Linked DNA regions of Mus musculus. The protein of the gene in region 1 interacts with the protein of each later gene in a pairwise test. Links are inferred from orthologs where the notes say so. Each region holds a gene or a part of one and is shown in the gene's direction. Other genes may lie near its edges.

Evidence for each region.
Region 2: the proteins of Snca (region 1) and Tor1a interact in a two-hybrid assay, tested with the Homo sapiens proteins (2 studies listed by BioGRID, with this or other methods). The link is inferred for Mus musculus from reciprocal best matches to the Homo sapiens genes SNCA and TOR1A.

The regions. Positions count from the first base shown.
Region 1 is NC_000072.6:60,826,158-60,830,265, reverse strand, and holds the start of Snca (alpha-synuclein), read left to right. Parts: upstream 1-1,261; 5' UTR 1,262-1,542; intron 1,543-2,638; 5' UTR 2,639-2,664; coding exon 2,665-2,785; intron 2,786-4,108. UniProt on the Homo sapiens protein: Neuronal protein that plays several roles in synaptic activity such as regulation of synaptic vesicle trafficking and subsequent neurotransmitter release.
Region 2 is NC_000068.7:30,965,101-30,969,277, reverse strand, and holds the start of Tor1a (torsin-1A precursor), read left to right. Parts: upstream 1-1,359; 5' UTR 1,360-1,423; coding exon 1,424-1,604; intron 1,605-1,922; coding exon 1,923-2,188; intron 2,189-4,177. UniProt on the Homo sapiens protein: Protein with chaperone functions important for the control of protein folding, processing, stability and localization as well as for the reduction of misfolded protein aggregates.

The DNA.
Region 1 (4,108 bases):
GGTGCCACCTTTTCCTTTAATTTCAAGTAAACATGGTATGTGCCACTAGTGTGTAGGAAGGTTGATTTTTAAAGGGAATAAGAATTGAAGGCGTTGCTTAAACAGTTAATTTCTGTCACATTACTTGTACTCTGCATTTGTGGTTTTATCTGCCTCCTTCCTTTATAGCATGCCAAACAAGCTGCTTGTCCCTTGTTTCAAATGCTTTTTTAGACTTCAATTTATTTATTTATTTATTTATTTATTTATTTATTTTTCAGGATTCAGAAGTCAACTGACTTCAAGGATCAGAGAAAGCATTCCCTCCTACGACCCCCCCCCCCTTTTAATACAGTAAACGCTTGATTTAGCTTCCAGTGCCCAACACAAGTTCAGAATACAAGAAAGGAAAAGCAAGGCACTCTGCTGGGGGAGGAGCTTGGCACTCAAATCCACTCTGCTATAAAACAGTGGTATTCTGCTCATCTCAGAGAGAAGTGGGAACGTGTTAAGTAACACAGAAATTGTCTCAAAGCCTGTGCATCTATCTGCGCGTGTGCTTGGATTGGAAGAAGAGTCTGTTCGCTGGAGCTCCACGCAGCCAGAAGTCGGAAAGGTAAGAGGTGTGCAAAATCTGCCATTAAGTAGGGACTAAGGAAGAAACTGCCTGTGATGGTCCCAGAGGGTGAATCCCACAGCCGCTACCTTCCTATCCTGTAACTCTATAGTAAGCCACTTTCTCAAGTGCAAAAAAGCCTTGAGGCAGCTGGTTTTCGACGGTTGGGGGATATTTATTCCTTGCTCCACAGATGGGGAAAAAAAAATCAGCGTCTGGCAGCCGCTGATTGGTGGAAAAGAAAATGGTGATAGTGGAGTGGGAATGAGGATTTGCTGAGCCTCCCCCTGCTTCTTCGACCTGTAACTCTTCCTTAGTCGGCTCCCCTTTGCACCCAGAACCCTTTTAGACTCCTCCGGGGTAAAAACAAATGGAAATCTTAAGCTGTGTGAACAAAAGCAACCCCAAGGGTGTGTGCTCCCTCTCCATTGCCTGGCTCCGCACACAGACCATTTCAGGCGGTCCAGCTCTCTGGTGTGGCATCTGGGCTCGTCCTGGAGGAGGGGGTCGCCTAGAGGAACTGGGAACAGACTGAGGCAGGGAAGGAGGGGGGTGGGGCAGGAGAGGCGCCAGCTCAAGTTCAGCCACGATAAAACTGAGGGCCCTCTGAACTCGAGGGGAGGCTCAGGCCGTCCTCTCTTCCTTCCATCCGGGGGAATGTGCTCCAGATACCCACAGCCCTCACGCACCGCACCTCCAACCAACCCGTCCCCTCCCTAGGAAGAGGAGCGAAGGCACGAGGCAGGCGAGGGGCGGGGAGAGGCGCTGACAAATCAGCTGCGGGGGCGACGTGAAGGAGCCAGGGAGCCAGAGCGCCCGGCAGCAGGCAGCAGACGGCAGGAGACCAGCAGGTGTTCCCCCTGCCCCTGCCTGCCCTTGCCTCTTTCATTGAAATTAGATTGGGGAAAACAGGAAGAATCGGAGTTCTTCAGAAGCCTAGGGAGCCGGTAAGTACCTGTAGATGGGGCAGCTCTGGGGATCTTAGCTAGCCGGAGCAAAGAGCCGGGACGCCTAGAGAAGACCAACTACAGCTGCTTTGGCGGTGGGGACTGGGCCAGTGCGTGGAAAGTACATCACTCGGCTTTCCTTTCGCTGGAGACATGCCCTTCCATCCTGTCAAAGCCCGAGGGAAAGGCCAGGTTGCCTGTGGCATCTGCTTTTTCAAGCGGAAACGCTAGGGTGTTTCATGTTGAGTGCTGGATGGTGGAAGCTTAGTGCTGGGCATTGGGTGGAATTTGAGCATCCAACTTTCATGCTCCAACCCCAGGCATTTCAGCTTCTTTCTGTAGAGGAAGAAGGGTGCCTTTGGCCCATGATTAATAGAAGTGCAGAGGACAGTAGGCAACAGGTGATAAAGGGTTAATGAGCATGGGGTGCAGGGTCTTCTAGAGGATTCCAGCTGAGGACAGAGCTTCTTGGTTGGGTGGTGCTCAAGTGAGACTGCTCAAGTGTATGGACAGCGCCTGCTCTGGGCAGATAGCAGGCAAAGAGCTAGTGGTGGGCAGAAGGTCTTGCAAGATTAGAAAGGCTGGGCTTCAAGCAGTTCCCTACTTCTAGATTAAACAGTTCCCCTCCCTTCCTTCTCCAAAGACTGACTCCTCTCTGGGTCTTTTATCCTCTTGCCCCCACTCCATCTCTGTACGCCCACCTCCCATGTTCCTTTTCTAGATAGTCTTTTTACTTTGAATGTAACCTTTGGGCCCTGGGAACTTGATGGGGTAGAGGATGCCCACCTCCCCTTCTGCAACTCTTCTTCTGAAATATGTATGTAAGAGCAGTCGAATGATCAAACTAGATCCATCCCATCCTTAAGTGACATGACTTTTTCCTAGTATTGAGTGACATAACTCAACAATCAATCAACACTGTGCCCAGCACCCCCACATCCCCCCACCCAAGAAATCACACTTACACCAGGACTTGGGGGAAGGCATACTGATTTTTCCCCCTCAATTTCCTTTCTTTCTCTAGCTGTTTTAAACCTTATTATTATTATTTTTTTACCCAAATTTTCTAATTCAAAATGTATTCTGTATTCTCTAGTGTGGAGCAAAAATACATCTTTAGCCATGGATGTGTTCATGAAAGGACTTTCAAAGGCCAAGGAGGGAGTTGTGGCTGCTGCTGAGAAAACCAAGCAGGGTGTGGCAGAGGCAGCTGGAAAGACAAAAGAGGGAGTCCTCTATGTAGGTAGGTAGTGACACTGTGACTAATGAATTGGGGTGGCTGGTGTGTGGTGTCTGATTCGTGTGCATCACAGCTTCTCAGAAGAGTGACAGCTGTGTGGAGGTGAGAGAATATGAACCTGCATATTAGCTCTCAGAAACAAACAGGGACAATGTTTTCTGTCCTTAGATTCATTAATCTTGTTATTTATGTAGGTTTTTTATTTGGTTTTCTGTTTCTGTGTATGAATACACTGAATTTTAAAAATTGGCAACCCATGAAAAATAACCAAGAATATGCTTATGAATCAAAGACATGTATGGCAGTAAGCCTGGTGGCATTTGGGAAGTGGAGGCCCAAGGACCAGGAGTTGATGGTCATCTTCAGCTACACAGAGAATTTGATGCCAGCCTGAACTATGTGAGAACACACACACACACACACACACACACACACACACACTCACACTCTCTCTCTCTCTCTCTCTCTCTCTCTCTCTCTCTCACACACACACACACTCACACACACACACAATACACACACACACACTCTCTCTTACACACACACATACACACATACACACATACACACACACACATACACACACACACACACTCACACACACACACAAAGAAATAAAGAAATAAAGGAAGGAAGGAAGGAAGGAAGAAAGAAAGAAAGAAAGAGAAAGAAAGAAAGAAAGAAAGAAAGAAAGAAAGAAAGAAAGAAAGAAAGTGAGCCACAAGTACTCATGGGACTTTGATTTCTTTCATCATCACTATAGGTAATACCTGCTAAGTTTAATAAATTATAAAGCTTTAAACAATAGTTTTGCATAATTTTATTTTACAACTGTGAAAATACAACTCCTTTGACCCTCAAATAGAAGAAAGAAAGCAAGTCTTCTTTGGTGGATCTCCTTTTAGGGATCACTTGGTCAGTGGGAACAGCGGGACTTAAGGAACTTCAGAAATGTTTGTTTAGTTCACCTGTCAGAGATCATACATGCTGAACAGTAAGAGGTTGATATTTAGTGCCATTTTCTGCCTGACTGTACACATTGAAAGGAAGGCCAACACTCCCTTTCTCTGTCTTTCCCTGTGTTAAATTGGCTGTAACTTTACAAATCCCTTCTAGTACTTTCATGGAAGGAATAGACACCCATGCACACATGCTTATCCCCAGCAGAGACACAGGTGCACATGGGAGCACAGTTGCAGGGTTCATCTACCTCTCTTTCCTCCTGTGAACACTGTTTCCACCTTCTTAGGAGGGCATCTCTCTTGGTGGAAGACTCAGGGTAAACATTCAGGCTGAAAAGGAGCAGAACAGGTGGCAAAAGTGATG
Region 2 (4,177 bases), on another chromosome or scaffold:
TCCCTCTCTCCTGTTCTGTCACTGGCTGATCAGCCCTTTATTGACCAATCTGAATAATTAGGAAGCAATGTTTACACAACATTGATGACAGGCAGTTCTCAAAATAAGGATAGCAACCATATATGAGGGCATAGCAATCAGCATGTGAATAATACAAGGATAATCCTTATACAGTGCACAATAACATTATTCCTACAGTTCCCTAAGGAAGAAACTGGGTAAGAAACTATGGGCTTTATTTAATAATATTGCTCATGGGGCTGGAGAGATGGCTCAGTGGTTAAGAGCACTGACTGCTCTTCCAGAGGTCCTGAGTTCAATTCCCAGCAACCACATGGTGGCTCACAACCATCTGTAGTGGAAATCTGATGCCCTCTTCTGGTGTGTCTGAAGTCAGTATACTCACATACATAAATAAATAAAATCTTTAAAAAAAAATACTGGTCATGGGTTTTTAACAAGTATGAGATGCAGATCCCTCTTTTTTTTTTTTTTGAGATGTCAGACTCTCACTGTAGCCCTGACTGCACCTGGAATTCCTTGTATAGGACAGGGTGGCCTCCAACTCAGATATCCAAGACAATCACCTGTCTCTACTTCCCAGAGTGCTGGGATTAAAGGTGTGTGCTACAATACCCAGCCCTCAAATGTCAGTTTTGTTCTGTTTTGTTTTGTTTTGTTTTAACGACAAGATCCAATATGCAGCTTTGACCTGCTTGAAACTTTGTAGACTGGCCCCAACTCATACAGAGTGTTGGGGTTAAGGGTGCACACCACCCACCGCACCTGTCAGATTTAATGATAGGGACGCACGTTGGGGGGGGGTCATGTGGGAACCCACTATATTATCCTCTCATTTTTAAAAATTTATTCATTTACATGTTAATTTATGCATGTGTGTAAGCCCACATGAGTTTATGAGCACCACATGCACGCAGGTGCCTGCGTCATTTCTTTTTTAATACTTATTTATTTCATGTATGTCAGTACACTGTCGCTGTCTTCAGACACACCAGAAGAGGGCACCAGATCCCATTACAGATGGTTGTGAGCTACCATGTGGTTACTGGGAATTGAACTCAGAACCTCTGGGAGAGCAGTCAGTGCTCTTAACCGCTGAGCCATCTCTCCGCCCATCATTAAAAAAAAATGGTTCTAAAACACTGTTACTTGATGGGGATAGGGCAGCAGTCATCATCACCTGATTCCTATAATCTCAATATTATTCCTGTAACATCAAGGTTCAGAAGCAGAAGGGACTTTGCCCTTAACAAAGATGGTAGCCACTAGCGTCGGTAGACTGCCTGCCCCGGACAAAGAGGGCGGCCCCGCCAGCAGGAACCGGAAATACGAGTCTGGGCGGTGCGCGGGGTACGGTGGGCGCTGGGCGGGCGCTGGGCGCGCAAGGTGCGCGGGTCCGGTTATGAAGCTTGGCCGGGCCGCTCTGGCCCTGCTGCTGCTGGCGCCGTGCGTGGTTCGTGCGGTGGAGCCCATCAGCCTGAGTCTGGCCCTGGCCGGCGTACTCACCACCTATATCTCCTACCCTCGTCTCTACTGCCTCTTCGCCGAGTGCTGCGGCCAGATGCGGAGCCTCAGCCGGGAGGGTAGGCGGGCACCAGGCGTCCGGGATGCTGCGGCAGGGGGATGGCGCCGCTGCCAGGCCAGACTTTGGCCGGAGGCCTGAGAGATGAGTGGTCGGGGCCCGGGGTAGGGTGTCAGCCCTGCGCGGAGCTCTCCGGGGCGGCCTCACGGCACCTCTTCCGCTTGGCTTTGGGGCCAACCCCGAGGAAGGGCAGAGTTCGCAGCACCAGGGTCCCTCAGCGCTCTCCAAACCAGGCTCCGCGGGCCCTGACGTCCTGGAAATGGGGCTGCCTTTTGCCAGCTTGTTTCTCTCCTGACCAGAGTGATCTTTCCTTTCTCAGCGCTGCAGAAAGATCTGGATAACAAGCTCTTTGGACAGCATCTTGCAAAAAAAGTCATCCTAAACGCCGTGTCTGGTTTCCTAAGCAACCCGAAGCCCAAGAAGCCCCTTACCCTCTCTCTGCACGGGTGGACGGGCACCGGCAAAAACTTCGCCAGCAAGATCATCGCGGAGAATATTTACGAGGGCGGACTGAACAGTGACTATGTACACCTGTTTGTGGCCACGCTACACTTCCCCCACGCCTCTAACATCACACAGTATAAGGCAAGAGCATTAAGTTGACCGCCTTCGCGGATGACCCGGAATTGGGGTTTCTCTGTTGTGGGGTGGGATGTGGGAATTCCACGTCAGTGAGTGAGCCACAACATGGCTCTCTGTATGTCAGTTCCTCTTTAAAAGGTGTGCACAGAAGTGGTCATATCCCTTGGAGGAATGACAGCTGAAGCTAGGCTACCGTGTTTTAAAGGGGACTGTCAAGAGCTGGGGGTAGCTCGGCATAGAGCACTTGCCCAGAATGTGGGAAGTTCTGTATTATGTCTCTCCACCCCAACTCCCACAACTCCCGCTGTGGCGAGGGTGCACTGGGGGATAGATATGTAAGTTACAAAGGGTTTGAGATACATAGAGCAGTTAGACCACCAAAGTTTTATGAGTGGCCTCTGTGACACTCATAAAGTGACTCGGTAAGGTGACAACTTGGCTGGGAAGTGGGGACATAACAACTCCAGGGTCTTTAGGAGTCGCCTCCCCCCGCCCCCTGTTGTGAAAAGGAAACCTAGAGGCCAAGTTTGCTTTGACCCAGCTGTTGCAACCTGCTATTGGAGTTTAATTCTGATAACAGGCTCACACCTGAATTCAGGTTCGGTCCCTCCCTCCCTACAGCTGTGCAGTAGGGGCTGTCACTTAACTTGAGCAGGGACATTCTTTATCTTAGAATGGTGCTTCAACCTCGAGTCTGTTAGTGCACCCCCTTTCTGTTGAGCATTGTGTGGCCATAACTGTGGCTTTGTGCAGGTTGTTTAATCTTGGTGCCTGAGGTCAGCGGGTGTTTTCCTACACACCTGTATTCCCAGCAGGCTGAGGCAGGAGGATCACACCTTTGAGGTTAGTCTGGGCTACATAGTAAGCTTCTGTTTGAAAACAGAAATGGAGAGGATGTCAGGTGGAGGAAGAGGAGAAAATAGGGGCTCAGTATCATTTCCTCAATGGCTTTGGGGAGAAGATTCAAAAATGTTGTCATAGCCAGGCATGGTGGCGCACGCCTTTAATCCCAGCACTTGGGAGGCAGAGGCAGGCAGATTTCTGAGTTCGAGGCCAGCCTGGCCTACAGCATGAGTTCTAGGACAGCCAGGGCTACACAGAGAAACCCTGTCTTGAAAAACAAAACAAACAAAACAAAAAATGTTGAGTTAACAGAGCTTGGAACGGTGTCTCGCAGCAGTGGGCGCTTGCTCACAGTCTGGGGCAGGAGACTGGGCAGACCTTCTCTGTGGAGTTCTAACGACTGAGTGAGTTGTATGGAACCATGAGTTGCCACATGATTCAGGTCACTGTAGGTTCCTCTAAGGCAGTTTCTCAACCTTCCTAATGCTGTGACTCTTTAATTCAGTTCCTCATAAAATGATTTCGGTATTACTTCAGAACTGTAATTTTGTAACTGTTATGAATCTTAACACAAATATCTGATCTGCAGGTATTTGATAAGTGCGCCCCGGGGGTCTCGACACACAGGTTGAGAACCGCTGCTGGGAGGGGAAGCTGGTCCATACCTGCAGAGTTGCTGCTTACATTAGATACAAAGGAGAACTGTATTGTGGTCACAGAGCAGTGGAAACACCCTAAGCAGATAGATGTACAGTGTAGCTGTTCGTGTGTTCTTTAGAAAGATACATGGCTGCCTTCCCCAGCTCACTTCAAGAGGAGGGTGGCTGGAAATACCTACACCCTAGGTAGGATTTGGGCTCAGTTTTCCCAGGAAGATGCTTTAAGAGGTCTGTGTGTCTCCCCTTGATGGCTCAGTGTATACGAACCTGGCTGGGGTTTGTCTGGGGCTGGCTTAGGGTGACTGAGGCTCTGACTTCATTCTTTAGCATCTGCCCCACCGAACAACCAAATACAAATAAGGTGGGCTCGTTTGTCTGCTTTATTCTTGAGCCCGCTGCCCATGAGCTCATTGTTGCAGCCTGAACTGTGTTTATTATCATCATCATCATTTTAGTTTGGTTTGTTTTTAATTTTGTGTTTGTGTGTGCT